Anolis sagrei: one gene and its partners. The protein of the gene in region 1 purifies or fractionates together with the protein of each later gene. This does not show direct contact. Links are inferred from orthologs where the notes say so. Each region holds a gene or a part of one and is shown in the gene's direction. Other genes may lie near its edges. The genes, in order: POLR2J, RPAP1, CTDP1 and RPRD2.

Region 1 (7,965 bases):
AGAGGGAGCTCCTGGGCCCGGCCATGGCCAGCCCACCACCGCCAAGCAAGGCAGCCAGACAGCCAGACAGCAACCCACTTGCGCCCCGGTCCCCAACTGGCGGCGCTCCCTTCCGCGCCTCCGCCAATCGGGAAGCCCCGCGGGAGGAAAGGGGCGGGGCCGGGGAAGGGGGAGCGCCCCATTGGCAGAGCGCCCGGCAGCCGGGATTGCCCTCTTCTTCTTCCCCGGTCTCTGAAGGCATCCCGGCGCCTTCTTCGCCCTCTCTCTCTCGGCTTCCATCCATCCTTCCTTCCTTCTTTTTCTTCCTTCTTTTCTTCCTCTCTCCTTTCCTTTCTTTCCTTTCCTTCCATCCTTCCTTTCATTTCTTTTCCTTGCTTCTTTCCTTCCTCCCTTTTTTCCTCCTTCCATCCTTTCCTCCCCTCCCTCCTTTCCTTTCTTTCCTTCTTTCCTTTCCTTGCTTCTTTCCTTCCTTACTTCCTTCTGGCTTTCTTTCCTTCCTTCTTTCCTCTCCTCCTCCTTTCCTTCCCTTCCTTCTTTCCTTCCTTCTTTCGTTCCTTTCCTTCCTCCCTACCTCCTTTCCTTCCTTCCTTCCTTCCTTCTTTCTTTTCCTTGCTTCTTTCCTTGCTGTCTTCTTCCCTCCCTACCTCCCTTCCTTCCTTCCTTCCTTCCTTCCTTCCTTCCTTCTTTCCTCCCTTCCTTTCCTTGCTTCTTTCTTTCCTTCCTTCCTTCTGGCTTTCCTTCCTTCCTTCTTTCCTCCTTTCCTCCTTTCCTTCCCTTCCTTCTTTCCTTCCTTCCTTCGTTCCTTTCCTTCCTCCTTACCTCCTTTCCTTCCTTCCTTCCTTCCTTCCTTCTTCCCTCCCTACCTCCTTTCCTTTCTTTTTTTCCTTCATTCCTTCTTTCCTTCCTTCCTTCTGGCTTTCCTTCCTTCTTTCCTCCCTTCCTCCTTTCCTTCCTTCCTTCTTTCCTCCCTACCTCCTTTCCTTCCTTCCTTCCTTCCTTCCTTCTTTCCTTTCCTTGCTTCTTTCCTTGCTGCCTTCTTCCCTCCCTACCTCCTTTCCTTCCTTCCTTCTTGGCTTCCTTCTTTCCTTTCCTTGCTTACTTCTTCCCTCCCTACCTCCTTTCTTTCTTTCTTTCCTTCCTTCCTTGCTTCCTTCTTTCCTTTTCTTGCTTACTTTTTCCCTCCCTACCTCCTTTCCTTTCTTTCTTTCTTTCCTTCATTCCTCCCTCCTTTCCTTCCCTTCCTTCTTTTCTTCTTTCCTCCCTCTCTCCTTACCTTTCCTTTCCTTGCTTCCTTCTTTTTCCTTCTTTCTTTCTTTCCTCCCCTCTTCTCATATCTACCCCTTTTCTTTCTCTCCCTCCTTTCTTCTCTTCTTTTCCTCTTCTCTTCTTTCTTTTGTTCCCTCCCCTACCTTTCCCTCTTACCTTCCTTTTCTTTTTTCCCTTCCTTTCCTTCCTTTTTTCCCTTTCCCTTTCTTTCCTCCCTACCTCCTTTCCTTCCTCCCTTCTTTCCTTCCTTTCTTCCTTCCTTGTTTCCTACCTATTTTCCCCCTTTCTTTCCTTCCTTCCTTCCTTCTTTTTTCCATCCTGGTGCAATTTGGGGCAGGATGAACCACAGATAATGGTGTTTGCAGCGCTTTCACTCACTGCCACAGACTGCGACCTCCACGAATGACGAACCTGGGCCAAACTTGGCGCAATAACACCCCCCCCCCATGACCCACTTTATGTCCTGATGAGGTTTGGAAGAGATTGTACCATGGATGATGGGATTTGCAGTACCTTCACTCACTAATGGGGTTAGACCCACTTTACATCTTGGTGAGGTTTGGGGGGAGGATGGACCACGGATGATGGGATTTGAAGTACCTTCATCCACTTCCAGAAAGCACTGTGACTCCCACAAATGATTGACCTACAACAAATTTGGGGCACAGAACCCCCCCCCCCCCCACACACACACACTTTACGTCCTGGTGAGGGGTAATTGACCTTGAATTCTGGGAGTTGTAGTTCACCCTTATCCAGAGAGCACTGAACCCAGCCGACAAGGGATCTGAACTTGGCACACAGAGACAACATGACTGTGCCTAAAGGTTAGGAGATGATTGTCTTTGAAATCTGGGAGTTATAGTTCACCTGTATTAAGTGAGGCGTTCAAACTCCACCAATGACAGATCTGGATCAAACCTGGCACACAGACCCAACACAGACAACTTTGCCTACTGGAGGGGTTTGGGGGTGATTGACCTTGGCATCTGGGAGTTATAGTTCACCCATATTCAGAGAGCCCTCTGAAGCCAGCCAACAATGAATCTGGACCAAACTTTGCGCACAGACCCAACTGTAAATAATGACAGACTTTAGGGAGGACTGACCCACAATTTTGGGAATTGTAGTTCACCCACATCCTTATGCATTTTCTAATGGGAGCATTCATAAAAAACAAAAGCAAAGGCGCTCTCCCGAGTGCCCAGGATGTCCTCGCTTTCCGGGGCTTAAAGTCCTCCAGATGTTGGCACTGCTGCTGGTTTCCAGAGTGCCAGATGCTGAGTGAATGGGTGGGTGTCCGGATTACGCAGAGCTCACGTCAGGCAGATCCGGTCAGCGGACAGCAAAGCCCATAATCCTCGAGGAGGAGGAGGAGGAGGAGGAGGAGGAGGAGGAGGAGGAGGGCCGCATCAGAATGGGGAAAGGCAGGAGGTCGGCTCTAGGCCTTCCACATCTGCATCTATTAAATAATAGGCAGAAAGATAGAGACATTGATTTCAAGAGACACATATTTGGCCTCCTATCTATCTATCTCTCTCTCTCTCTATCTATCTATCTATCTATCTGTCTCTTTTTTGAAATCGAATCTGGAGAGATTGACTTTTAGGTTGATTTAGCATTCCCCTGCTTCACCAAATAGATGTATCTATAACTATCTATCTATCTGACTGCCTATCTGTCTCTCTAGCTATCTACCTATCTGATTATATCTATCTATCTGACTGCCTATCTGTCTGACTATTTGTCTGTCTATCTATCTATCTGATTATATATCTATCTGACTACTGATCTATTTATCTATCAATCTGACTATATATCTATCTGCCTAACTATCTATTTATTTATCTATCTGACTATCTATCTACCTAGCTATCTATCTATTTATCTAACTGACTATTTATTTATTTATTTGCATTATTTCTGCCATGCCCATATCAGCCAGAAGGCGACTCAGAGCGGCATACACAGTCGGCACAATTCGATGCCATAAAAATGCATACATTGATAAACAAAAGTAACCATTATAATGCATTTAAACATAAAGATAGGGCATAATAACAATTTTAAAAACAAAAAAACTATGTCCTCTCATTCAAGTCCTTATCCGTTCCATCGTCTTGGACCGTTACTGGGTCATTTTCCAATTCAAGTTTGTCTATTTATTCGGAGGTTCTAAATCTATCAATCTATCTGTCTATCTATCTATCTGACTATTTATTAATCTATCTGACTATCTATTAATCTATCTGACTATCTATTAATCTATCTGACTATCTATCTATCTATCTATCTATCTGACTGTCTATCTATCTGATTATATATCTGACTATCGACCTATTTATCGATCTATCAATCTGACTATATATCTAACTGCTTAGCTATCTGCCTATCTATCTATCTGACTATTTATCTGACTATCTAGCTATTTATCTATCTGACTGCCGATCTATCTATCCATCTATCCATCTATCTGACTGTCTATCTATCTATCTGATTATATATCTGACTATCAATCTATTTATCTATCTACTTGACTGTCTGTCTATCTATCCATCCATCCATCCAATCCATCCATCTATCCACCCATCCATCCATCTATCTATCTGACTATCTATCTATCTATCATCTATCTATCTATCTATCAGATAGACAGTCTGATAGATAGATAGATAGATAGATAGATAGATAGATAGACAGACAGTCAGATAGACAGTCAGATAGATAGACAGCCAGGGAGTGTGATAGCTAGAAACACATAGATAGATAAATAGATAGATAGTCATGTATAAAATTAGATAAATAGATAGATAGATAGATGTTCAGATAGATAAATAGATAGTCAGATAGATAGGCAGTCAGATAGATAGGCCAATAGATGATCTATATCAGATGATCTATATCTATATCAGATAGTCAGTCTATCTATCTGACTATCTATCTGACTGTCTATCTATCTATCATCTATTGGCCTATCTATCTATCTATTGGCCTATCTATCATCTATTGGCCTATCTATCTATCTATTGGCCTATCTATCTGACTGCCTATCTATCTATCTATCTATCTATCTATCTATCTGAACATCTATCTATCTATCTATCTATCTATCTATCTATCTATCTATCTATCTATCTATCTATCTATCTATCTATCTATCTATTTATCTATGTGTTTCTAGCTATCACACTCCCTGGCTGTCTATCTATCTGACTATTTATCTGACAATCTATCTATCTGTTTTTATGTCTGTCTACAGGCATGTAGCCGGGGGGGGGGGGCTCGGGGGGCTTCAGCCCCCCCCCCACCTCCGAAATCCTCTCACAACTGAAGTCCCAAAGACCTGGAGGGAGGGAGGAGGGAGGGCCCTGACCTGACTCCACGAAGAGCCTGCAGTACCGCCGGGGGCCTCCAGAGGGGGGGCGCGCGCAAGGAAGGAAGGCCAGAAGAGGCCTCACGCTCGCGCCCTTAGCGCGGAAGAACCGGAAGGGGCGGAGCCGGAAGCGCCAGGAAAGACCAGCGCCAGCCATGAACGCTCCTCCGGCCTTTGAGTCCTTCTTGCTCTTCGAAGGGGAGAAAAAGTGAGTTCCCTCCACCGGGATAATAGGGGCCTCCAGAGACCACCCAGGCCCACCCCCGCTGTGGCCAGGCAGGCGGGGCACCATCCAACCCGTCCCGACAGATGGCCGGGCTGTCTCTGTGGCAAAACTACCAGAGAAGCGGGCCTAAAGGCTGTACCTTGATAGAGATAATTATTTCATTCATATTTCATAGTAATATATATATATATATATATATATATATAGTATTATTATGATATCGATGTATTCTTATTTTATATTGTTATATTTTAATATTTTAAATTGTTATATTAATATTATATATATATTGTAAATTCTTATTTTATACTATATTTCTATAATTCTTATTTTATATTATAACATGCACATCTTTATTATTCTAAATTGCTATATTATATTATTTATTCTTATTTTATATTATTTTTATAATATAATCTATATACTTCTTTTATAGTATTACACCTATATCTTGTTTTATAGTATTATTTTATGTTACTATGTATTATTTTGTATTATATATAATATATATTATTTTAAATTGTTTTATTATTTATCATATTATAAATTATTTTATTTATTATATATAGTCATATTATTTTTATATTATAATATATATATATTTCATGATATTACCCCTATATCTAGTATTATAGTATTCTTTTATATTACTGTTTATTATTTTATTATATATAATATATTATTTTAAATTGTTATATTATTTATTATATTATATAGTCTAGTTTTATATTTTATGGTATTATATATGTTATTCTTTTTTATATTATTATATATGCATATTACAATATAAATATATATGTCTTGTTTTACATCATTACTATGTAATAATAGTTATTTTAAATTTTGTTATATTATTTATGATATATTTATATTTTATTTTATAGTATTATATATTGTTTCTATTTTATAGTATTTTGTAGTATTAGAATATATATATATTATTTTATATTATTTATTGTTACATATTATTTTATATTATTCTTACATATACTCATATTCTTATTTTTAATATATATTCTTTCTATTCTTATTTTATTATTATATTATGTATATATTGTATATTATCCTATATAATTATTACTCTAAACTATGTTATATTATTTATTAGATTGGATATTATTTTATTTTTCTTTTATACATATACCTTCTTTTTATTTCTATAATATAAATATATAATTCTTATTTTAAATTAGATTATTATTATTATTATTATAACTTTATTTGTACCCCGCTAGCATCTCCCAAGGGATTTGATGCGGCTTACGACAGGCCGGAGCCCAACACAATACAACAATACAATACATAGCAAATTAAAACAGTTAAAGCAGAAAACAATAACAGTAGCAGTACAACAGAACATTATTAAAAACTGAGCCGGCCAGAGTGAGGTACAGGGTTAAAAAGTGCTGAAGTGTCGGAGGGATATGGGATTAAAATATAAGTGCAGTGTGCGGTGAGGGTGATCTTGACTCTACTAAAGTGCTTCTGGGCTTTGGTAGTGGGGGTCCTAATCTGAGAAGGCACGTAGGAACAGCCAGGTTTTCAGGTTCTTTCTGAAAACCGCCAAGGTAGGGGCCTGTCTGAGATTTTTCGGGAGGGCATTCCAGAGGTGGGGGGCCACCACAGAGAAGGCCCTGTCCCGTGTCCCCACCAAACGCGCCTGCGACGCGGGCGGGATCACGAGCAGGGCCTCTCCTGATGACCGGAGTGAGCGTGTGGGTTCGTAGACTGTGATGCGGTCACGCAGGTAGGGTGGTCCCAAACCGTTCAGGGCTTTGTAGGTAAGCACCTGCACCTTAAATTGGGCTCGGAAAATAAACGGCAGCCAGTGGAGTTCCTTAAACAGGAGGGTTGACCTCTCTCTGTAATGGGCCCCCGTTAACATCCTGGCTGCTGCCCGTTGGACCAATTGGAATTTCCGAGCCGTTTTCAAGGGCAGCCCCACGTAGAGCGCATTGCAGTAGTCCAGTCTAGAGGTGACATATTATTTGTGGTTTTATCCTTACCCTTTCCTATTCTATTCTTACTGTACATTATATTATTTATTATATATTATGTTATTATTCTTTTATATCTTATGACCATCTTCCTCATGTTGAGGTGGGATCTCTTTTCCTGCCATTTGATCCCATTCCGCCATTGGATCCTTATTTCAAGAGAAAGCTATCTCCTTAAAGTGACCTCTCAAATATTGTCTTCATATTGATACTGAGCTGTCTATATATGTGCCTGAGGCTTTTCCTGGTTTATTTTCCTTCCAGGATTACCATCAACAAGGACACCAAAGTCCCCAATGCCTGCCTCTTCACCATTAACAAGGAAGACCATACGCTCGGGAACATCATTAAATCGTAAGTAAAGAGGGGTCATGATGATGAGGATAAGACACCTGCATTTTGCCATCAAGCCTTTGGAAGCTTCCACATTTCACTAAGGATGATGATGATGACAACGACGATGGCTCTTGCATTTTGCCATGAAAGCTTTGGAAGCTTCCCCATATCACAGAGAATTAAAATTTATTTATTTATCCTGTCAGAAGCGAGTTGAAGGTACAGTTATAATGTATTTAAAACCACAAATTTAATAACTTGGCATTGTATTAAATGTAGTAGGTGGTCTGTGATATGAGGTGAGAGGGAAACCAACTGTCAGATGGAACTTTGTTTGTAACCATACTGTATACTTTGAGAAATAAAGCCCTTCCAGTCAGTCTGTGAGGTAATTTCTTCTCTAGAAAACAACAGATCAGGACAAAATGTCCTTTGAACAGAAGCCGGCCACTTGGAGTGCCTCTGGTGTTTCCTTGCAGGCAGCTGCTGAAGGACCCGCAGGTGCTGTTTGCGGGCTACAAGGTCCCCCACCCGCTGGAGCACAAGATCATCATCCGGGTGCAGACCACCCCCGACTACAGCCCCCAAGAGGCCTTCACCAACGCCATCACCGACCTCATCAGCGAGCTCTCCCTCCTCGAGGAGCGCTTCCGCGTAAGGGCTGGATTGGGTGGCCTTTGGGGGGCCCTTCTAAGTCTATGATATTATATTTATCTATCTATATATGTATTGATACACACCATCCCCAGGGTACAAACATCCCATTT
Region 2 (8,317 bases), on another chromosome or scaffold:
CATTCCTGTTTCACCATTGCCTCACCATAAGGTACTACCAGTGAATTCTATAAACAGAAAGATGGAATAACCATGGGGAACCAGTCATAGCAAATTTCTACATGGAACACTTTGAAAAATAAGCCTTGGAAACCACAACAAAAAAGCCCACTACATGGTTCAGATATGTGGATGACACTTTCACTATTTGGAACCATAGAAAAGAAGAACTAAACAAGTTCCTGGACCACCTCAACAGCATCCAATTCACCATGGGAAAAGAAAATGGAGGAAAACTGTCATTGGATTGTTGTAGGGTTTTCGGGTTATATGGCCATGTTCTACAAGCATTCTCTCCTGACGTTTCGCCTACATCTATGAGACCTCACAAGCTCTGAAGATGCTTGCCATAGATGCAGGTGAAACACCAGGAGAGAATGCTTCTAGAATATGGCCATATAGCCCGAAAAACCTACAACAACCCAGTGATTTCACCCATTAAAGCCTTCGACCATACATTAAACTGCCATTTTTAGATGTCCTAGTCATCTGTAAACCCAATCAACAATTGGGCTGCACAGTTAACAGAAAACCTACAAATGGATAGATACCTACAAAAAAACTCCAACCATCACCCAAGTCAAAAAACGAAGCACAATTAAAGTCCTGGCAGACCATTCAAAAATAATCTATGAACCCCACCGCCTCCAAGGTGAACTGAACCACCTAAACTGGGTTTTACAGGCCAATGGATACTCAACCACAGACATCAGAAGAGCTGCAAGAGCAAGAACAAGCCACGAGAATAAAGACAAAGATCCACCAAGAGGAAAAAGTGTTGTTGCCCTACATCAAGGGAATCACTGATTGCATTGGGAAACTGATGAAGAAACACAACATACAAAATATCTACAGACCTACTAAGAAAATCCAACGAATGCTACATTCAGCAGGATCCTCTCACTTCTGCAGGAGTCTACTGTATACTATGCAGCTGTGGACAAGTCATAGGGACCACCAAAGGCAGCATTTCCCAAACACGAATCAAGGAACATGAAAGGCACTGCAGACTACTTCAACCAGAGAAATCAGTCATAGCAGAGCACTTGATGAAGCAAACTGGACACACCATATTATTTGAGAACACAGAAATGTTGGGCCACTCTACCATTTCAGGCTATACAGAGAAGACATTGAAACCCACAAGCATGTGAACAATTGCAACAGAAAGGAGGAAACCATGAAAATGAACAAAATCTGGCTACCAATGTATTTAAAAAAACTAAAATCAGGACAGTAAATAAAGAGCAACTCGAAAAAAGCAGGGGACTTCCAGACATGAATCAATCAGGGCCAGCTAATCACCTTCCAACAAAGGATTCTCCCAGTCAGCAACCAGCCAGGCTTTGAAGCTGCAAGGCCATGCAATGCCAATTGCAACATTCACACCTATCTCAAGCAGCCAAGAGTTCTTTCTCCCACCCTGGAAATTCTACAGATATATAAACTTCACTTAGTTTCCAACAGACCTCACAACCTCTGAGGATGCCTGCCATAGATGTGGGTGAAATGTCAGGAGAAAATGCTTCTGGAACATGGCCATACAGCCCGGAAAACTCACAGCAATCCACTCTTCTGCCAAAGCTTTCTGCTGCCTCCCTAAACTACAGATCTCTGGATTCCAGAGCATTGAGCCATGGAAGTTTAAGTAGTGTCAAAAAGGCATTCATTCTACAGTATAGAGAAGGCAAGGGCAAACTTTGGCCTTTCAGGTGTTTAGGACTTCAACTCCCACCATTCCTAACAGCCTCAGGCCTGACAGATATTCTTGATATTTTATGAATAAGATTCCAATATCTCAAATGTCCTTCACCTCAAACACTATACTAGAAAGAAAAACATTTCAAAAAAGAAACATGGAATCACATGTGACTCACTCTTGTTCAGATAAACTGGATTATGAGTCTACACTGTCATACAATCCAGTACAAAGCAAATAATTTGGATTGTATATAGCAGTGTAAATGGGGCCAGTCGGGGCTGTTTTGGCTGTATTTTCTTGCATGTTAAGGGGTTGGACTACAAGCCCCATGTGGTCTCTTTTAACTTTATGATTCTATACATGCCACCTCACAAACTCTGAGGATGCCTGTCATAGATGCAGGTGAAACGTCAGGAGAGAATGTCACATTAATTAATTCCATGAAATAGTTATATCCCAACAGCTTTGGTCCCTTCCACATAGGTGTATAAAATCCCATATTATTTGCTTTGAACTGGGTTATATGGCAATGTGGACTAGGGCCTCTTCCAGAAAGCTGTATAAAATCCACATTGAACTGGATTATATGGCAGTGTGGACTTAAGATAACCCAGTTCAAAGCGGATATTGTGGATTATCTGTCTTGATATTCTGGGGGCACTTCCAGACAGGGCCTATATCCTAGGATCTGATCCCAGGCGTGAGGCTGTTAGGAATGGTGGGAGTTGAAGTCCAAAACACATGGAGGGAGGGCCCATGCTGTTCTAGTCATAGAATCATAGAATCATAGAGTTGGAAGCGACCTCATGGGCCATCCAGCCCAACCCCCAGCCAAGAAGCAGGAATATTGGATTCAAAGCACCCCTGACAGATGGCCATCTAGCCTCTGTTTAAAAACCTCCAAAGAAGGAGCCTCCACCACACTCCGGGGCAGACAGTTCCACTGCTCAACGGCTCTCACAGTCAGGAAGTTCTTCCTCATGTTCAGATGGAATCTCCTTTCTTGTAGTTTGAAGCTGTTGTTCTGTGTCCTAGTCAGGGAAGCAGAAAACAAGCTTGCTCCCTCCTCCCTGTGGCTTCCTCTCACATATTTATACATGGCTATCATATCTCCTCTCAGCCTTCTCTTCTTCAGGCTAAACATGCCCAGCTCCTTAAGCCGCTCCTCATAGGGCTTGTTCTCCAGACCCTTGATCATTTTAGTCGCCCTCCTCTGGACACATTCCAGCTTGTCAACATCTCTCTTCAATTGTGATGCCCAGAATTGGACATGACTTCCCTAGATCTAGACCAGGGGTCCACAAACTTTTAAAACAGAAGGCCAGGTAACAGTCCCTCAAACTGTTGGGAGGGCCAGATTATAATTTGAAAAAAGCATGAATGAATTCCTATGCACACTGCACATATCTTATTTGTAGTGCAAAAACACTTTGAAACTATACAATAATTGAAATGAAGAACAATTTCAACAAATATAAAATTATTAGTATTTCAATGGGGAAGTGTGGGCCTACTTTTGGCTGATGAGATAGAATTGTTGTTATTGTTGTGTACTTTCAAGTCGTTTCAGACTTGGGTTGACCCTGAGCGAGGGCCGGGTAAATGACCTTCGAGGGCCGCTTCCAACCCCCGAGACTTAGTTTGAGGACCCCTGATCTAGACACTATGTTCCTATTGATGCAGGCCAAAATCCCATTAGCTTTTTTTGCTGCCACATCACATTGTTGGCTCATGTCAGGCCTGTAGCCAGGATTTCGATTCGGGGCGGGGGGGGGGGGGGAGCTGAGTTTGTTTCAGGGGGGCTGAGTCTGAGTGAAAGAGGGTCTACCCTAGCAAACCTTTTGTATCGTTACCCCAATATCCCCATGCATATGGGATATATTGAATATGGTGATCAGATCATGATATGAACAAACGTAACAGTTTAAATATAGGGAGCCCCCGGTGGCGCAGTGGGTTAAAGCACTGAGCTGCTGAGCTTGTTGATCGAAAGGTCGCAGGTTCGATTCTGGGGAGCGGTGTGAGCTTCCGCTGTCAGCCCTAGCTTCTGCCAACCTAGCAGTTCGAAAACATGCAAATGTGAGTAGATCAATAGGTATCGCTCCAGTGGGAAGGTAACGGTGCTCCATGCAGTCATGCCGGCCACATGACCTTGGAGGTGTCTACGGACAATGCTGGCTCTTCGGCTTAGAAATGGAGATGAGCACCACACCCCAGAGTCAGACATGACTGGACTTAATGTCAGGGGACTACCTTTACCTTTACCTATCATATCTCCTCTCAGCCTTCTCTTCTTCAGACTAAACATGCCCAGCTCCTTAAGCCGCTCCTCATAGGGCTTGTTCTCCAGACCCTTGATCATTTTAGTCGCCCTCCTCTGGACACATTCCAGCTTGTCAACATCTCTCTTCAATTGTGATGCCCAGAACTGGACACAATATTCCAGGTATGGTCCAACCGCATCTGTTTTTGTAAGCTGCATCGAGTCCTTCGGGAGATGCTAGCGGGGTACAAATAAAGATAATAATAATAATAATAATAATAACCAAGGCGGAATAGAGGGGTAGCATTACTTCCCTAGATCTAGACACTATGCTCCTATTGATGCAGGCCAACATCCCATTGGCTTTTTTTTTGCCACCACATCACATTGTTGGCTCATGTTTAACTTGTTGTCCACGAGGACTCCAAGATCTTTTTCACACATACTGCTCTCGATCCAAGTATTGTCCCCCATTCTGTATCTTTGCATTTCGTTTTTTCCTGCCTAAGTGGAGTACCTTGCATTTGTCCCTGTTGAACTTCATTTTAGTCCTCCAGGTTCTTTTGGCCTTCAACTCCCAGAAGCCTCAGCTGCCTTGGCTTGTGACAAGGCATGCTGGGAGCTGAAGTCCAAAAACTGCTAGATGAGCAGAGTGTGGGGAAAAGAGTGTTTATACTGCAGCAGAAGGGCTGTCATTGGACTCCTCTTTCACCGCCACGCTCAATGCTGTGGAAACCTGGAAGGTGTACTTTCACAAGGTGAGGCGCCTTCTCTGGAGCCTCACCAAACTACACGTCGCTGGGTCCCATAGTATTGAGCCTTGGGAGTTAAAAGGACCTTCGTTCTCCAGAGGGAGGCTGGCTCTGAGTCCAAAATGGCGGCGGGGGCGGAGTTAGGCCTGAGAGGAAGCCGCCCCTTCTCACTGGAGGCGGAAGGAGAGGCGAGGCCTGGAAGAGCCCGGAAGCAGGGACAGAAAGAAGGCGCCGTTTGGCCTCCCAAAGGCTTGCCGTTCCCTCTTTCGGGCGACCTCGAGGTATAGAGACCACCAGGGAAGGAGGTTCTTCTTGCCCACAGAAGGAAAAGGCTCTCGGCCGCCAGAGGCATGGCTGGCTCTGCTGGGAGGGATGAGCATGGCGCCCCTCCTCCTGCCTCATGTATTTCAGCATATGCAAACTTCGGCCCTCCCGGTGTTTTGGACTTCAACTCCCACAATTCCTAACAGCCGGTAGGCTGTTAGGAATTGTGGGAGTTGAAGTCCAAAACACCGGGAGGGCCGAAGTTTGCCCATGCCAGGTTGCAGATAACCTGTGTGAATGTCTACTTCTGGAACTTGCGTTTCCTATAATAGAAACTAAGTTTTCCCCCCCTTGAATTCTTAGAACCCGATTATGTGCTTGTGTAGATGCAAAGTTTGTGAAAATGAAGGATGTTAAACTCTTCCCTTTCTAAAAATGTAGATCAAGTCATCTATACGCTCCGCACAAGAAGGCAACAGGAGGAAGATGTTGTCAAGACCCAAGCCCGGTGAATCGGAAGCGGACTTGTTGCAGTTCCAGAATGAATTCCTCTCAGTGAAAGCTTCCCCAGCAGTGAAAATAGTCAAGAAAGCAGATAAAAGGAAAGGGGATTTGGGAAGTGGAGATGATGACAGACCCCCATTGCAGCATGGCAGAGATGTGGTGATGTTGGATGGTAAGTCTGTTGTAAGTTATTTTATGTTGGTGTCTTAGTATATTGGGAGGTCAGCTGTGACCAGCAGTGCTATAGAATTTTAAGAGGTACGAATGGAGGGCGAAAGAGAGAAACGTGCCAAGAGGAAGGCGCATCAAGCCAACCCTGACCGGGAAATCAATGCCTTCACTGCAGGAGAAAATGCAGATCAAGAATAGGGCTCCACAGTCACCTATGGACCCACCACCAGTACACTGATCCCGGAAGACTATCCTACTCGGACAATGAGCGATCGCCTAAGTATGTAAGTATTGGGAAAAACCAGGAAACCCTTTTGGAAGTGTGACCCTTTTGGAGATTAATTGGCATTCACATTATTTGGAGTAATCATAAGCTTTTTGGAAAGGCATGACCTTGTTGGAGATCGTAACTTTTTAAAAAGTGTGATCTTCTTGAGAAGAGTTAAAAACTTGCTTGAGTCAACCATCTCCTTAGTGGTAAATATCCATTAGTATCAATGCAAGGCATATTAGGTTTCTTAGCTGTTAGACTGATATACCTGATTATCTCTTTGAAATGTTGGCAGCAAAGATATGCCAATGCACAAAATATATAGCAGATCTTCAGAAGTGTTATTTCAGTTGCCGAAAAATATATCTACTGTCCCATAAAATATATTGCTTTTAATCATGCTTGCAAGAGACCAAAAAGTAAGCAGTCTTCATTAAAAGTTAACCTAATTGATTTACGTACGAACTTATAGAATCATAGATTTGGAAGAGACCTCATGGGCCATCCAGTCCAAGCCCCTGCCAAGAAGCAGGAAAATTGCATTCAAAGTACCCCCAACAGATGGCCATCCAGCCTCTGCTTAAAAACCTCCAAAGAAGGAGCCTCCATCACACTCCGGGGCAGAGAGTACCACTATTGAATAGCTCTCACTGTTCGAAGTTCTTCCTCATGTATTTAGCATACAGTTACATTTCTTATTGGTTTCATGTTATTATTATTATTAAACTTTATTTGTATCCCGCTAGCATCTCCCGAAGGACTCGATGCGGCTTACAAAGGCCAAGGCCTCAACACAACAACAATAGACAATAACAATACGATACAAAGCAAATTAAAAACATAAGCAATAACAAAACATTACACTATTACGCAATAAAACCAGGGCCGGGCCAATGAAGGGTCCAGATTAAAAAGTGCTGGGTGTGAGAGGTGGTATGTTGGAATTCTGGGCAAGTGCCCTGTGCAAGAGACTCTAGTAAAGTGCTACTGGGACATAGTGCTGGGGTTTATCCTATTCTGGAAAGGCATATAATGTTAACTGAATTATACTCAAAACTGCTCTACTGGGGGTACTTTAACTGCTCATCTGCTGCAAACAGACTCCTATATTAACTGAACATCTCACTGCAGCATACTGACTATATTCCTGCTCTAACTGACATCAACATACTTCACTGACTTCTAACTTCCAACTGACTCAAGTCTGAACTGACTTAACTGATTCCAACTGACTTCTGATTCAAACACATTCTAAAGTGGAATTTCACTCTGAACATTCTAAGATCCGGGTCACATGGTCTGTAGTCCCTCCCACAACCACTAACAACATAGAGTTAAGGGAAAAACTGCATACCAATACATACACACACTATAGTAAACAATCACAATGATATACATAACAAATAACTAGTAGAGGAGGCTTGTAGATGGTTGCTATTTCCAAAATAGTACAATTTAAACAAAACAGCAAGACCTTATTTGCCTGGAGATTATTATTTATATTGTGACTGTAGCACTGTCTACATGTGATGTGCTATAATGCCATCATGCAACTCAGTTGAAGCTACAGTGGATAGTGCTGCCCCAATGGCATCTGTATTAAACCCTATCCGTATTGTATGAGTAGTGTGACCATTGGGCTATCTCGTTTAGTTTCTGCTATTGCCCTTAATTGGTGACAGAGTTTAACCCTGTTCTCAGTGTAATATCCACACCCTGAATGAAAAAATATAATTTAGGAAGCAGAATTATATCTGCTACGGAATTTTAAATCAATAAGGGTTTATATGATGTTTTATGTAAAATTGTTATGTAAATTCATGTTGTCATTGTTTTATACGGTCATGTACTGTTGTATTTTATGTGTGTTGCACTTTTGAGTGCTTTTGTGAGTCGCCCTGAGTCTTTTCAAGGAGATGGTGGTGGGATATAAATAAAGGTTTATATTATATTTTATATTATACATTTGGCCTAACTCAGATTTCCTGGTTGCATATACAGTTTGTTCTCATATTGGGCTAAATAGATGACAATCATGGCTGTAGCCCATCAGACATGATTCCTGTTCTCCAGATTTCATACCTCTCAGCGCCCTTCCAGATAGGCCCTATATCCCAGGATCTGATCCCAGGTTTTCTTCTTTAAACTAGATTATATGGGTCTGCACTGCCAGATAATCTGGGATAAACAGAAAATCTGGGATCAGATCCTAGGATATAGGGCCTGTCTGGAAGGACCCTTAATCAGGGTGGAAAAACTATACCCTTGGTGTTGCATGTGACCTTGAAGCCAGCTTTCTTAGCTCCCAATGCATACAGTCTAGTTCTCTGCACATTGTTTTTTTCCTGGCA
Region 3 (8,043 bases), on another chromosome or scaffold:
GGGTTTTAGATATCATTTTTATGTATATTTGTTTTGTGTTATTGACACTGTTGTTGTTTTATAAATGCCTATGTATATTGTTGTACTTATCTGTTTACAGCACTAATGAGTGCTTTTGTAAGCCGCCCTGTGTCCCTTTTGGGAAATGGTGGTGGGCTATAAATAAAGTTATTATTATTAACATATATTGGAGATCCCAGTGGGTTATAACCATGTACGTTTCATAAGTGATCCTTTTTAAAAGACAGATGGATAGTTAGAAACAATGAGTGAAACTCCTTTTGTTAGGGAATTTGTAGACAGGCATTTTATCTGGGATTAGTGGGCACAAATTTCCTCTTCATGTCCCTTCAGGTTTTGTATCGGTAAAGGTTAGCTCATCCCCTCTGGAATGTGTAGTTCCCTGGCCGGACTATTGGAAATCAACTCCATTTTGGGGAGGGGAAAATGCTATTATTTCAATATTTTGAAACTTCATAAAATGTAAAAAAAATATAATAAAATTCATATGTAATTTCAGAATTCATGTTGAGTCCATCTTTTGGGGAGGGAAGGGTCAATTTTTTGATAACAAAACTGTATCCATTCTTCAATGCAGAAGTACACTCCTAATGATCACAAGTATTTCTATAAAATATATTGCTTGATATACAAGTGATGTCATCTGCTTACAAGAATAAAATTGCAGATAGAAATCAGAGACAAAACACTTACAAAGCAAAGAGGTTTGAGGTGGGAGCAGAACATAAAAATCAATTGGAGAGGACACTGCTGTTTGAAAATGTGAATATTCTTGAAAAGCAAAGGTGTGTGTCTGTGTTGGGATGTAAAGTGGGCATTTATCAAGATCTTTTTGAATTATTTTATATATTTGATCTTGGTGTTTCAACCTGCAAAACACTTCAATTTGTATTTTAGGAAAAAATGCTATTGTTTTGGAATCATTTAAGGATACATTTTGGAAAATGTGGTGTTGGCCAATTGCAATGAAGGAACAATTCTGAAGCCCAATGGATCATGTAGGATTAGACACTTTAATTGTTTTAACAGTGGAAAAGTAAGGTTCACCCAGAGTGGGGAATACACAATCACCAGATGTTGGATTGCAACTGACATTAGTCCTTATTTATTTCTGTTGGAAATAGCAATCTTCTACAAGCCTCCTATACTAGTTGTTATGTACAGTATATAATTCAGATTGCTTGCTGTATTATATATGTATGTTTTGATATGCAGCTTCCTTAACTCTATGTTGTTTGAGGTTGTGAGAGAGACTGCAGACCATGTGATCAGATCTGGGCCTATTCATACTGAGGCTCCATTTTAGAAATCAGTATAGTATTGTGTTGTGTTATATTTTATTGTATAGTCATTTTCATTAGGCATTAGGCATAAGACAGAGAAGAGAATGAAACAGAATGCCTTAGAGAACTTACTGTTTAAACTTTCAACTGATAAACAATGTACCTGTATGCTGAATACATAAAGTTTGTAAGAAAATCAACTATGTTATTTTTTTAAAAGACTGCTTATTTTTTGTCTCATGAGAACATTATTTAAAACCAATGTATTTTATGGGAGAGTAGATTTTGGGGGGGGGGGGGGCAACTGAAGCAAAACACTCCTGAAGATCTTCCATTTATTTTGTGCATTGTCATATCTTTGTTCCTAATAGTTCAGACAGATAACCAGGTATATCAGTCTAACAACTGAGAAACCTAATTGCCTTGAAGCAATACTAGTGGATATATACCGCTAAAGAGAAAATTCACTCAAACGAGTTTTTAGTTTTTCTCAGGAAGATCTTTATTTTACAAAAAGGTTATGATTTTCCAAATGGTAGTGACTGCCAATTAATCTCCAAAAGGTCACGCTTCCAAAAGGCTTTGAAGAGTCTGGTTTTCCAAAAGGTTATGATCTCAATGGTCATCCTTTTCCCAAAAGGTTATGCCTTTCCAAAAATTTCACCCTATGCTGAAGAATTATAGGAGGGGCACATATTCCCTGTGTTTTCTTTAGACCTTGAATACAGTAACTGTTAATTCCCTAAAGGTGTTAAAGATTACTAGAGTGCAAATGTTGTATATTTTCCATCAGATATTTAAAGTTGCTGTGGAAAAGTCTATTTTGCTGTTTTACAAGAGGAACTGGCTTTTCTGGAAGAATGAAAATTCAAATGGAATGTAAATCTTTGGAATTATGGTAATTTGCCATAAATACAGAGGAGTGGCACCAACAGAGGGCAAGGACAACTAGAAGTAACTTCAAAGGCATAATCTGCTTATGCACATTTTTTTCATAATGATGATGACACTTTGGGTTTGAAAGTTTCCAAAATTTCTAAATGAGTGGATCAAAAAAAAATGCATCTATGTAGCCCTTTAACACAAACGAGATCCCAAACTGATGCAACAGACTCTCATTTAAAGGGCACTCAATGAGGACTGATAGATGCTGGATAAGTGTAGTTTCTGACTGCTTGAAAGTTTCTATTAAAACTTGGGCTAAATAATACTATACCTCATACTTTACCACATCATGAACTCTATGTTGCCATGATAGTACTATTGAAAGAAAGACACATCTGACTTAATGTAACACAATTTTATAATATTATAATATTGTATCTTACTGTTCCCTCAGCGACAGCAAGAGCATCCCTCTGGGCAGCTAAACCAGGAAATCCCAATTGGATGGTCCCCCATGAGGGTCTCCCTCCAAGAGCAAACCAAGTATGGGCAACTTGGAAGTCCTTGAACAGACTCAGAAGTGGAGTGGACAGATCAAAAGACAACCTGGCAAAATGGCACTACCTAAAAGAATCCTCCACCTTGTGCGACTGTGGAGCAGAACAAACAATTCTGCACCTGTTTGCTTGTCCACAATGCCCTGCCTTGTGTACAGAGGAGAAGTTGTTTAACGCTACAGACAATGTGGTTGCTGTTGCCCAGTTTTGGTCAAAAATTATTTCGCTGATTGTGCTCCTTCTATTTTTATCAATTTTATATTTATGTATGCAATGCCTTTGAAACGCAATAAATAAAATGGTATTATAAAAACACAGCTTTGTCAATGCAGTATGCAATTTTAGTTAAACAGCAGTCAACAAACCTTTGCCGTTTGCTTGACAACTCCAGTTGCTTGTTTTCTGGTTAACTGAGAGTCTACTGTACAATGATGAGACAGCAAGAAGGAATAGAAGACCCGGAGCTCCAAGGAAGAAAATACAATACCTTCTGCAACTGGACTGTTTCCACAATGGAATTTTTATATTTTATAGAAAATTCAAAACTAATATAAAATGAGGGAATTGTCCAATAACAGCTGAATGACCCTTTTCTTAATGTTTTATTAGAGAACTTTTGAAAACTGGTAGCTTCAGGTCATGACATGGGCTGGTCCATGAGGTCATGAAAAGTCGGAAGCGACTGAACAAATAAACAACAATAACCCACTGTGAAAAGCTTTGGCTTCCCATATCCAGTAAACAGAATATGGGGAAAATGAGATTGCCACAGGTCACTTTGCTAAAATTCATAATCCGTCATTCAGGGAGCATCACCCTTCTTTGTCCATTAATTCTGTATCCACGGATTCAACCTTCCACGTCTTTAAAAGGTTTTAATTCAAAAATCCAGAAAGCAAATGAGTGATCCAATACAACAGCCAGCAGAGTGATCTTGTCTGCTGTGGACTCTGGAATGTGTCCAGAGGAGGGAGACTAAAATGATCAAAGGTCTGAAGAACAAGCCCTATGAGGAGCGGCTTAAAGAGCTGGACATGTTTAGCCTGAAGAAGAGAAGGCTGAGATGAGAAATGATAGCCATGTATAAATATGTGAGAGGAACTCATAGGGAGGGAGCAACCTGGTTAACTCATGAATTTTAACTGGTTAACCAAATCCCCATGCTAAGTCTATGAAATTGCACCTGCAGAAAAACCATCAAATGCACTGGAAGCATATCTTGTCTGTGATTGAGAGTTTTTTTCCGAATGTGAAGAAACTTCTTTAAATGAAACATGCCAGTTACCCTTTGTAGTCTTTTACCTAAGTCATTGCTATCTTAAATGCTGGTTATAAGTTTTAATCCATGTTTAATCAGTTTTATCTGCTGGGTTGTTGTAGGTTTTTTTGGTCTATATGGCCATGGTCTAGAGGCATTCTCTTCTGACGTTTCGCCTGCATCTATGGCAAGCATCCTCATAGGTAGCGAGATCTGTTGGAACTAGGGAAAAGGGTTTATATATCTGTGGAATGACCAGGGTGGGACAAAGGACTCTTGTTTGCTGGGGCTAGTTTTATCTGCTGTTAATTCCACCCACGTCATGTGTTTTAATCCATTTTGGCTATTTTTGGCCTTACTAACTTTGCATACCTTTTACAGAGCAATAAGGGTCTTTGGATTGTATTAAAAATGTTGTTGTTGTGTTATCAAACTACTCTTCATGATTTGCTAAAAAAAAGTTTCAACACCCACCCCCACCCTGTAATGTGGTGTTCAAACTGCATTAGCCAGGGCTTAAAAGCTGGGACACAAACTCTGCCGCGCATGCGCGTCCCACCGGCTCGTCTGTTATGCAGCCCACGCGGAGGGGTGGGGAAGAGGGCTCGGGCCCCGTTGCGTCACCAGCGCCAGCGCGCGAAGCAGGAAGGGCGTGGCTTAAAACTTTCCATCGTCAGACCTGCGATGCCTTCCTCTCGCCTTGGTGCGGCTGTTCCTTTAAGGCAGCAGGGACGGAGCAGCAGCGGCGGCGCCGTGCGCCTGCGCAGCAGAGTCTTGACCTCGCGCTCCGTCCGCTGCGCTGCTCGTGACTACTTCTTCGTGTTGTTGTTGTTTTTTTGAAAAAGAGGGGGAGGGGAGGAAAGAGGGGGGGGAGCTGCCGTTTGGCATTCGGTTCTTATCGCTGAGGCGGCCGTTGCCATAGCGACCCCGCGTCGGACGGGCCCGGCCTAGGAGGCCATGGAGGAAGACCCTGGAGCAGCTGCCGCCGCTTCGGCTTCTGAAGTGACGGAGATCCGGGTCCCCGGCCCGCAGCCTCTGCGGCTCCTCGAGTGGAAAGTCTCAGCCGGGGCGGCGGTGAAAATCGGCTCGGTGCTGGCGGTGTGCGCGCCTATCGCGGCCTCTGAGGCGCGGGGCCCGGAGCGGAAGGTCAAAGCGGAGCGGCCTGGCGTGGTGCGGGAGCTGTGCGCGCGGCCGGGACAAGTCATCCCGCCCGGGTGAGTCCGGAGGAGAGGAGCGGAGGGAGGGAGGGAGGGCAGCCGGGGCGGGACTAGGCCTCGCCGCGCAGCTCATCTGAGCAAGCACCACAGCACTCGCCCCATCCCTGGCGCAGGAAGGAGGAGGAGGAGGAGGGAGGGAGGGCGCCAAGAACGGCATCAGCCCGCCCCTCCTCCCCCGCCCTCTCGCGCTCGCCCTGACTCTGGAGAAGGAAGCCAGCTTCCTTCCCCCTACCTCCGCCTTTCGCAGCCTGGGAGGGATCACGAGGGGGTGTCAGAGGGGGCGCCGAAGACTATCAGAAAACAGTATTTCATGCGGGTTCTGTGGGAGAATTTTGGTCCAATTCTATCCTTGGTGAAGTTCACAATGCTCATTGATTGTAGGTGAACTATAAATCCCAGCAACTACAACTTCCAGTATCCGCTGGGTAATGGAGAAAGGCAGGGAGTTTCAGGAAAAACATCTATTTCTGTTTTATTGACTATTCTAAAGCCTTTGACTGTGTGGATCATAATAAATTGTGGCAAGTTCTTGGTGGTATAGGTATACCAAATCACCTTGTCTTTCTCCTGAGGAATCTGTATAAGGACCAAGTAGCAACAGTAAGAACTGAGCATGGAACAACGGACTGGTTCAAGATTGGGAAAGGCGTATGGCAGGGTTGTATACTCTCACCCAACCTATTTCTGTTTTATTGACTATTCTAAAGCCTTTGACTGTGTGGATCATAATAAATTGTGGCAAGTTCTCCGTAGTATGGGGATCCCAAGCCACCTTGTCTCGCTCCTGAGGAATCTGTACAAGGACCAAGTAGCAACAGACTGGTTCAAGATTGGGAAAGGCGTACGGCAGGGTTGTATACTCTCACCCAACCTATTCAACTTGTATGCAGATCACATCATGCGATGTGCAGGGCTTGAAGCATGCAAGGCTGGGGTGAAAGTTGCTGGAAGAAACATTAACAACCTTAGATATGTAGATGATACCACTTTGATGGCTGGAAGTGAAGAGGAGCTGAGGAGCCTTCTAATCAAGGTGAAAGAAGAAAGTGCAAAAGCTGGGCTGCAGCTAAACATCAATAAAACCAAGATTATGACAACAAGAATGATTCATAACTGGCAAATAGAGGAAGAAAACATGGAAGCAGTGACAGACTTTGTATTTCTAGGTCCAAAGATTATTGCAGGTGCAGACTGCAGCCAGGAAATCAGAAGACGCTTACTTCTTGGGAGGAGAGCAATGACCAATCTCGATAAAATACTGAAGAGTAGAGACATCACATTGGCAATGAAGATCCGCATAGTAAAAGCAATTGTATTCTCCATAGTCACCTACGGATGTGAGAGTTGGACCATAGGGAAGGCTGAGCAAAGGAAGATAGATGCTTTTGAATTGTGGTGTTGGAGGAAAATTCTGAGAGTGCCTTGGACCCCAAGAAGATCCAACAAGTCCATACTTCAGGAAATAAAGCCCAACTGCTCACTGGAGGGAAGGATATTGGAGGCAAAGATGAAGTATTTTGGACAGATAATGAGAACACAGGAAAGCTTAGAGAATACAATTATGCTGGGGGAAATGGAAGGAAAAAGGAAGAGGGGCCAACCAAAGGCAAGATGGATGGATGGCATCCTTGAAGTGACTGGCTTGACCTTGAAGGAGCTGGGGGTGGTGACAGCCGACAGGGAGCTCTGTCGTGGGCTGGTTCGTGAAGTCACAAAGAGTCAGAAGCGACTGAATGAATGAACAGCAACCATGCAACTTCCAAATGACAATATCAGCCCTCCCCCCAATCAAAGAGCATTCTGAACTCCACCAACGATGGAATTGAACCAAATGTGGTACACAGAACTCCCCTGACCAACAGAAAATACTGAAAGACTTTAGTGGCCATTGACATTGAGTTTTGGTTGTAGTTCACCTACATCCAGAGAGCACTGTGCACTCAAACAATGATGGATCGGGACCAAACTTGGCACAAATACTTAATATGCCTAAATGTGAACACTGGTAGAGTTTGAGTGAAATAGATCTTGACATTTGGGAGTTGTAGTTGCTGGGATTTATAGTTCACCTACAATCAAAAAGCATTCTGAACCCAGCCCACAATGGATGTTTACTAAAATTGGCACACTACCTACATGGCCACCATTGAATGTTGGTGGGGTTGGAGGGGGCTGTTTTTGAATACTGGGAATTGTAGTTCCCCAACACCAAAAAAAGAAGAGGACAGGTGGAGATATTTTCAGTCTTTTCTGTCAAAGGGGTTCCTAAGACCATCAGAAATATATGTTTCGGATGGTCTGTGGAGCCCCCTCTGAAACCCCCCTCACAACTCCCCCAGAGGTCCCAACCCCCAGGTTGAGAAACACTGTGTTAGACTCAAAAATAACTCAGGTGGGGTGATTCCACCATAAATACTTTATAGCAGAGTACCAGAATTAAACTCTTTAACCAGCAGAAACTTACATGTAGTCACATGTAAGTTTCTGCTGGTTAAGGAGTTTACATGCTGGAATAGGCTTCTATTCTTCAGGATGGCTTGGGATTGCAGAGTCAGATCTTAGGTTCAAAAGTATTTTATGAAGTAATGCTAAGTGTCCATTGACCAGAAGCTGGTCACTTGGAGTGCCTGTGGTGTCGCTGTGAGAAGGTCCTCCATTGTGCATATGGCAGGGCTCATGATGCATTGTAGTAGATGCATAGTCTGTGGTTTGCTCTTCTCCACACTCACATGTTGTGGACTCCACTTTGTTGCCCCATTTCTTATGATTAGTTCTGCATCTTGTGATGTCACAGCACAGCCAGCTCAGTGCCTTCCAGATCG
Region 4 (8,108 bases), on another chromosome or scaffold:
CGTTTCCCATTAACGCCCCATTCTCTGTCCTTTTTTCCCCAGGGCACAGCCAAGGAGCGCAGCTTTGGGGAGATGAAGTTCAAGCAGTGCCCCACCGAAAACATGGCACGGGAGCACTTTAAGAAACACGGGGCCGAGCACTACTGGGACCTGGCGCTCAGCGAGTCGGTGCTGGAATCCACGGACTAAAAAGGGGGCCCTTGACACCAACCTTCCACCTTTTCAGCTCCTTTGCTTTCGAGCCTCGGGAACTCAGCTGAAACATGGGACTTGGAGTTCATCCCACCGCGTTCTTCCTCTTTCCACACTTCCTTCTTGAGTTCCTCATTAAAAAGAAATATTTTTTAAAAGGAATCCCATTGGAAGTAGGGCTTTGTTGTTGGAGGAAACAGCCAACGAGAATCGATTGGTCATCTCTTCTTCCTGAACCTATTTTTGAAGATATGCAGATCCTATATTTGCTTTCCCCCCCCCATTCCTTTTTTTCTTTTCTTTTCCAGTAGCTTTGTTGGACAGTTAAGTGCTCTGGGGCAGTTCTTGGAATGTCATCTTTCAATGCAAAGAGTAGGAACTGGGGATTTAGCCCATATCCTATCATTACATAACAAACTTTGGGGTTGTTGTTGTTTTTTTGGGTAAAAAGATTTTAAAAAGTAAACCATGTGGCTGTCTTTTCTTGGGAAAAAAATGCTTCCTCCTTGGCATTAAGGAGACTGAGAACATATACTATAGCAATGTCAGAAACTAAAGGGGAGGGCTTCTGGGTATGGTTTTTTTTTTTTTTTTGACTACAGATCCTATCATCCTGAAGGTCTCCCCCATCTATATGCAGTGTAGATTGAACTGGATGAGATGAGACTACACTAACAATTATAATATATTGTATGTACATATAATATGGATCATAATATTGTAATACAATATAATAATTATATATTTTATATTACATGTTATATTATTAATAATACTGCAGTATAGTGATTTAGCACAATATAGTAATATATAATATGAATATTGTGCTATGCTAATATATTGTATGTACATATAATATTGATCATTATATTGTAGTACAATATAATAATAATATATAACAATTAAACACTTTATATTACATGTAATATTACTAATAATATTCCAGTATAGTGGTATAGGGTAATATATAATACTAATATTGTGCTATGCTAATATAATATATTGTATGTATGTACACATAATATTTATCATAATATTGTAATACAATATAATAATATAATAATTATATATTTTATATTCCATGTTATATTATTAATAATACTGCAGTATAGTGGTTTAGCACAATATAGTAATATATAATATGAATATTGTGCTATGCTAATAATATAATGTATTGTGTGTACATATAATATTGATCATAATATTGTAATACAATATAATAATATATAACAATTATATATTTTATATTACACGTAATATTACTAATAATATTGCAGTATAGTGGATCATAATATTGTAATACAATATAATAATTAATAATTATATATTTTATATTACATGTTATATTATTATTAATACTGCAGTATAGTGGTTTAGCACAATATAGTAATATATAATAGGAATATTGTGCTATGCAAATAATATAATATATTTTATGTACATATAATATTGATCATTATGTTGTAATACAATATAGTAATAATATACAACAATTATATATTTTATATTACATGTTATATTACTAATAATATTGCAGTATAGTGGTATAGTGCAATATATAATACTAATATTGTGCTATGCTAATATAATATATTGTATGTACATATAATATTTATCATAATATTGTAAAACAATTAAATAATTTTATTTTTCACATTACATGTAATATTACTAATAATATTGCAGTATAGTGGTATAGTGCAATATAGTAATATATAATACTAAGGTTGTGCTATGCTAATAATATAATATATTGTATGTACATATAATATTGATCATAATAGTGTAATACAATATAATACTATAATAATGTATTTTATATTACATGTAATATTACTAATAATATTGCAGTATAGTGGTATCGCACAATATAGTAATATATTATATATATTATATAGTATATTATATAATATATAGTATATATATAATATATATAGTATAATATATTATATATAATATAGCAATATAGTATAATATAATATATTATATTTACATATAATATTGACCAAAATATTGTAATATAATACAATAATTATATATTTTATATCACATGTAATATTGCTAATAATATAAGATATTGTATGTACATATAGTATTGATCATAACATTGTATATAATACAATATAATAATTAAATATATATCTTATATCACATGTAATATTACTAATAATACAACAGTATAATGGTATGGTGCAATATAGTAATATATAATACAAGTATTGTGCTATGCTAATAATATATTGTATGTATATATAATATTGATCAAAATATTGTAATACAATATAATATGTAATATTACGAATAATACTGCAGTATAATGGTATGATGCAATATAGAAATATATAATACTAAGATTGTGCTATGCTAATATATATTGTAATATTCTTAATAATATTGAGTATAGTGGTATGGGACAATATAGTAATATATAATACTAATACTGTGCTATGCTAATAATATAATATATTGCATGTACATGCATACATACCCTTCGGGTGAGGTATAAATGTCATAAATACTTCCATATAATCCAGTTCAATCTGCATTCTGAAACAGGATTATATGGCAGTGTAGATGGGGCCTAATGTTCTATTTCGCACCTTCTACTCATTGGAAGATGCCTTTCGCCATCAATTTGACGCAATGGAGCAATGGCTTCAAACGACAGGAAAGGAGATTCCACCTGAACACGAGGAAGAACTTCCTGACTGTGAAAGCTGTTCAGCAGTGGAACTCTCTGCCTCAGGGTGTGGTGGAGTCTCCTTCTTTGGGAGCTTTTAAACAGAGGCTGGATGACCATCTGTTAGGAGTGCTTTGAATGTGATTTCCCTGCTTCTTGGCAGAATAGGGTTGGACTAGATGACCCACCAGGTCTCTTCCAACTCTAGGATTCATAGATCCTTTAAAAACAGACATTTTTACTATTGTTTACCTTTAAAAAAACAAAAGATTGAGAAATAAACACTAGTACAATTGGGGGAAAAAGTCTTGAAGGAGCCTCAAAAGTGCACTCTGATCTTTTTCACGTGTTTTCGTAAATTTGGGTTCAGCCACACTGGAAGATTGATGCGGTTTGACACCACTATGGCTCAATACTATATGAAACTGGAGTTTTGCGCATGCGCAGAGGCGTCCTCCCCTTTTTTGAGTCTTTAGTCCGCGCATGCTCTAAAGCACAGCTGGGTTAGGTTAGCAGCGCATGCGCAGTTGTTTCATTTCTTCCCACTGCTGCGTTTGAGTTCAATGCCGCCTCCTTTTCATTCTCGCGTTCTATTCGCAGCCTCATTGGAGGAGCGCGTTCTCATTCCGCTTTCCTATTGGTTACTCCGAAAGTAGGCGGGCAAGGTTCCACCAATAAGGGTCCGGCAAACGCCACCTTTTGGCTGCTTCGTCAGCCTGAGCAATCGTTCCTTTGGCCTCCTTGGGCACGTGGTTGGGATCTCTTGCGCATGCGTAGCGTGGTTGCCAGGCTAAATGATTGATTGGTGGAGTGGGCGGGGCAATGGGCAAGATAAATTTTCCATTGGGAAGAGATAGAAAATTTTAACGGGGGGGAAATTGCTGTTCTTCCTTTTGAAATGTGCATTTTCCTACCTGTATTAAATATTTTAAAATTAAATATTGTTTATTAAATTGAATATTTTGATATTATTTCAATTTATTAAAACATCAAATATGGGAAATACTAGAAATATTTTAAAACATTTTAATCTATTGAAATATTTGTATTAAATATTTTAAAAATTAAAATTGTTTATTAAATTTAATATTTTAATATTTAAATCCAATATTATTTAAAATTAAATATTAAAAACATTTTAATCTATTGAAATATTTAAGATGGCAAATACTAAAATATTAAAATATTAAATTTAATATTGCTCGCCAGTACGCCTGCGCGGGGATGGAAGCGAAGGGTGGGCGGAGCTTGAGCAAAGGGGCGGGGCCGACTTTTTTTCCCTTTGGAAGAACTTCAGCGCTTGGGAGTCTCTTGCTCGTCAGTGCGCCTGCGCGGAGATTGAAGAGAGGAGTGGGGCGGGGCTTGAAAAAAGGGGCGGGGCCTACTTTTCTCTTTGGAATAAGTTTAGCGCTTGGGAGGCCAGTGCGCCTGCGCGGGGATGGAAGCGGAGGGTGGGCGGAGCTTGAGAAAAGGGGCGGGGCCTATATCTTTCCCTTTGGAATAACTTCAGCGCTTGGGAGTTTGGAAAGCCAGTGCGCCTGCGCGGGGATGTAAGCTAAGGGTGGGCGGGGCTTGCAAAGGGGCGGGGCCTATTTCTTTTCCCTTTGGAATAACTTCAGCGCTTGGGAGTTTGGGAGGCCAGTGCGCCTGCGCGGGGATGGAAGATAAGGGTGGGCGGGGCTTGCGAAAAGGGGCGGGGACTACTTCTGTTCCCTTGGAATAATTTCAGAGCTTGGGAGACTCTTGGTCGCCAGTGCGCCTGCGCGGGGATGGAAGCGAGGAGTGGGCGGGGCTTGCAAAAAGGGGCGGGGGCTACTTTTCCCTTTGGAATAACTTTAGCGCTTGGGAGGCCAGTGCGTCTGCGCGGAGATGGAAGAGAAGGTGGGCGGGGCTTGCGAAAAGGGGCGGGGACTACTTCTTTTCCTTTTGGTATAACTTCAGCGCTTGGGAGTTTGGGAGGCCAGTGCGCCTGCGCGGGGATGGAAGATAAGGGTGGGCGGAGCTTGCGAAAAGGGGCGGGGCCTACTTTTCCCTTCAGCGCTTGAGAGTTTGTGAGGCCAATGCGCCTGCGCGGGGATGGAGGCGTGTGCGAGAAAGGGATTGAACCGTCCCCCGCGCCTGCGCAGTGAGGGTTCCAAAAGCGCGCCTGCGCACTGACGCGTCTTCTCCCCTCCCCTCAGCGGCGTTGCTTGTGCGACCGATGAGGGGAGGCAAAATGGCGGCCGGCGGTGGCGGCAAGGCCTCCTCCTCCTCCTCTTCGTCGTCGTCCTCGTCGTCCTCGTCTTCCTCCTCCTCCTCGGCGGCTGCGGCGCCTTCCTCCTCCTCCTCCGCCTCGTCGTCTTCGCTGGAGGCCTCGCTGGACAGGAAGCTGCAGGCCGTGACCAACACCATGGAGTCCATCCAGGGCCTGTCGTCGTGGTGCCTGGAGAACAAGCGCCACCACCACGCCATCGTCCGGCACTGGATCCAGAACCTGCGACGAGGTGAGGCCTAGGAAAATGAGGGGCTTCGGACAGGACGCTAGGCCGCAGGCCCCGCCCACGAGGCACACTCAAGGATATCAGGGTGATGATGATAATAATAATAATAATAATAATAATTGGGTTGCTGTGAGTTTTCAGGTCTGTCTGTCCACTTTCCCAGCAGCATTCTCTCCTGACGTTTCTCCCCCATCTATGGCAGGCACCCTCAGAGGTTGTGAGGTTTCCAGGTCTGAAAATTCACAGTAATTATTATTATTATTATTGTTATTATTATTATTATTATTGGGTTGCTGTGAGTATTCAGGTCTGTCTGGACATGTCCCAGCAGCATTCTCTCCTGACGTTTCTCCCCCATCTATGGCAGGCATCCTCAGAGGTTGTGAGGTTTCCAGGCCTGAAAATTCACAGCAACCCATTATTATTATTATTATTATTATTATTATTATTATTATTATTGGGTTGCTGTGAGTATTCTGGGCTGTCTGGACATGTCCCAGGAGCATTCTCTCCTGACGTTTCTCCCCCATCTATGGCAGGCATCCTCAGAGGTTGTGAGGTTTCCAGGTCTGAAAATTCACAGCAACCCATTATTATTATTATTATTATTATTATTGAATTGCTGTGATATAATTGTGATAATAATAATAGGGTTGTGACATAATTGTGATAATAATAATAATAATAATAATAATAATTGGGTTGCTGTGAGTTTTCAGGTCTGTCTGGCCTCTTTTCCAGCAGCATTCTGTCCTGACGTTTCTCCCACATCTATGGTAGGCATCCTCAGAGGTTGGGAGGTTTCCAGGTCTGAAAATTCACAGCAACCAATTATTATTATTATTATTATTATTATTGGGTTGCTGTGAGTTTTCCTGGCTGTCTGGCCATGTCCCAGAAGCATTATCTCCTGACATTTTGCCCACATCTATGGCAGGCATCCTCAGAGGTTGTGAGGTTTCCAGGTCTGAAAATTCACAGCAACCCAGTAATCTTCTTCCCTGAATCTACAATTTGGTGATGGATCTGGGCATTGTATGTTTTTACCCTGTTTCCCCTTCTGCTCCCTCACCCATATTGTGCTTCTGTAGTTATATTTATATTTTTAATGTACCAAACATACCAAGTTTGTATGGAAATGTGACTATTTCCTGTGCTGGTCAATGACCGAAATAAATGATTTGATTGGTTTTAGGTTGCTGTGATATAATTGTGATAATAATAGGGTTGTGACATGATTGTGATAATAATAATAATAATAATTGGGTTGCTGTGAGTTTTCAGGTACCTCTGCCCACATTCCAGCAGCCTTCCCTCCTGACGACATTTCAATAATAATAATAATAATAATAATATAAACGGTCCCTTTTTTCTGCACCAACAAACTGCATGTTGACATCTCACCGGGTAGGCTGCATCTATATTGCAGAATTAATGTGTGGCTTGTTGTGAGTTTTCTGGACTTTCTGGCCATGTCCCAGAAGCATTCTCTCCTGATGTTTTGCCCACATCTATGACAGGCATCCCCAAAGTTTGTCAGGTCTGTTGGCCAAATCCCCAAAACAGCCTTACCTTTGGGTTGCTGTGAGTTTTCAGGTCTGTCTGGCCACTTTTCCAGCAGCATTCTCTCCTGATGTTTCGCCCACATCCATGGCAGGCATCTTCAGAGGTTGTGGGGTTCCCAGGTCTGAAAATTCACAGCAACCCATTATTATTATTATTGGGTTGCTGTGAGTTTTCAGGTTTGTCTGGCCACGTTCCAGCAGCATTCCCTCCTGACGTTTCGCCCTCATCCATGGCAAGAATCCTCAGAGGTTGAAGGGGGGGGGGGGTCTGTTGGAAACTAGGCAAGCAAGCATCCTCACTCTCTCTATTATTATTATTATTATTATTATTATTATTATATTGTTGTGAGGCCTGTTGGAAACTAGGCAAATGGGGTTTATATATATCCCTGTGGAATGATGTCCAAAGCGGGAAAAAGAATTCTCATCTGCTTGAGGTATATGAATGTTGTAATTGGCCACCTTGATTAGCATTGAATGGCCTTGCAGTTTCAAAGCCAGGCTCCTGCCTGGGGAAATCCTTATTATTAGATATAATAATAACAGAATATTATGTTATTATTTTTTATTCATTCTTTCTGTGTGTTGTCAAAGGCTTTCATGGCTGGAATCACTGGGTTGCTATGAGTTTTCTGGGCTGTCTGGGCATATTCCAGCAGCATTCCCTCCTGACGTTTCGCCCACATCCATGGCAGGTATCCTCAGAGGTTGAAGGGCTTTGTTGGAAACTAGGCAAGCATTGCAAAGTCTTGCAGCTTCAAAGCCTGGCTGATTTCTGCCTGGGGGGAATCCTTTGTTGGGAGGTGCTGATGTTTTGGAAGAGATTGGGAGACGGATGGCGAGAGGGGGGGTATTAAAGGCTTCCTTTTCTGCCCCTTTGGCTCCCATCATCTAGTTTTGTTGTTGTCGGTTACTGCCTCCAAAGTCCAAAATATCTTCCTTCAAAGTCCGAATACCTGCCTTCAAAGTCCAAATACCTGCCTTCAAAGTCCAAATATCTGCCTTCAAAGTCCAAATATATGCTTCCAAAGTCCAAATATATGCTTCCAAAGTCCAAAATATATGCCTCTTTAACCCTCTAGGGCAGGCAGGGGCCAACTTGGGCCCTCCAGGGATTTTGGACTCCAACCCCCACAATTCCTAACAGCCAGCAGGGGCAAACCAAGAATGGGCCACTTGGAAGTCCCTCAA

The links.
Region 2: the proteins of POLR2J (region 1) and RPAP1 purify together in Homo sapiens (affinity purification with mass spectrometry; 5 studies listed by BioGRID and IntAct, with this or other methods). This does not show direct contact. The link is inferred for Anolis sagrei from reciprocal best matches to the Homo sapiens genes POLR2J and RPAP1.
Region 3: the proteins of POLR2J (region 1) and CTDP1 purify together in Homo sapiens (affinity purification with mass spectrometry; 4 studies listed by BioGRID and IntAct, with this or other methods). This does not show direct contact. The link is inferred for Anolis sagrei from reciprocal best matches to the Homo sapiens genes POLR2J and CTDP1.
Region 4: the proteins of POLR2J (region 1) and RPRD2 purify together in Homo sapiens (affinity purification with mass spectrometry; 3 studies listed by BioGRID and IntAct, with this or other methods). This does not show direct contact. The link is inferred for Anolis sagrei from reciprocal best matches to the Homo sapiens genes POLR2J and RPRD2.

What each region holds. Positions count from the first base shown.
Region 1 is NC_090031.1:24,262,984-24,270,948, reverse strand, and holds the start of POLR2J (DNA-directed RNA polymerase II subunit RPB11-a), read left to right. Parts: upstream 1-4,738; 5' UTR 4,739-4,794; coding exon 4,795-4,847; intron 4,848-7,126; coding exon 7,127-7,216; intron 7,217-7,677; coding exon 7,678-7,852; intron 7,853-7,965. Other genes in the region: ras GTPase-activating protein 4-like, read right to left, coding at 1-25. UniProt on the Homo sapiens protein: Core component of RNA polymerase II (Pol II), a DNA-dependent RNA polymerase which synthesizes mRNA precursors and many functional non-coding RNAs using the four ribonucleoside triphosphates as substrates.
Region 2 is NC_090021.1:288,351,533-288,359,849, forward strand, and holds the start of RPAP1 (RNA polymerase II-associated protein 1), read left to right. Parts: upstream 1-4,884; 5' UTR 4,885-5,037; intron 5,038-5,461; 5' UTR 5,462-5,506; coding exon 5,507-5,696; intron 5,697-8,317. UniProt on the Homo sapiens protein: Forms an interface between the RNA polymerase II enzyme and chaperone/scaffolding protein, suggesting that it is required to connect RNA polymerase II to regulators of protein complex formation.
Region 3 is NC_090024.1:76,170,932-76,178,974, forward strand, and holds the start of CTDP1 (RNA polymerase II subunit A C-terminal domain phosphatase), read left to right. Parts: upstream 1-4,621; 5' UTR 4,622-4,961; coding exon 4,962-5,218; intron 5,219-8,043. UniProt on the Homo sapiens protein: Processively dephosphorylates 'Ser-2' and 'Ser-5' of the heptad repeats YSPTSPS in the C-terminal domain of the largest RNA polymerase II subunit. This promotes the activity of RNA polymerase II.
Region 4 is NC_090032.1:6,032,721-6,040,828, forward strand, and holds the start of RPRD2 (regulation of nuclear pre-mRNA domain-containing protein 2), read left to right. Parts: upstream 1-5,018; 5' UTR 5,019-5,072; coding exon 5,073-5,355; intron 5,356-8,108. Other genes in the region: PRPF3 (U4/U6 small nuclear ribonucleoprotein Prp3), read left to right, coding at 43-189.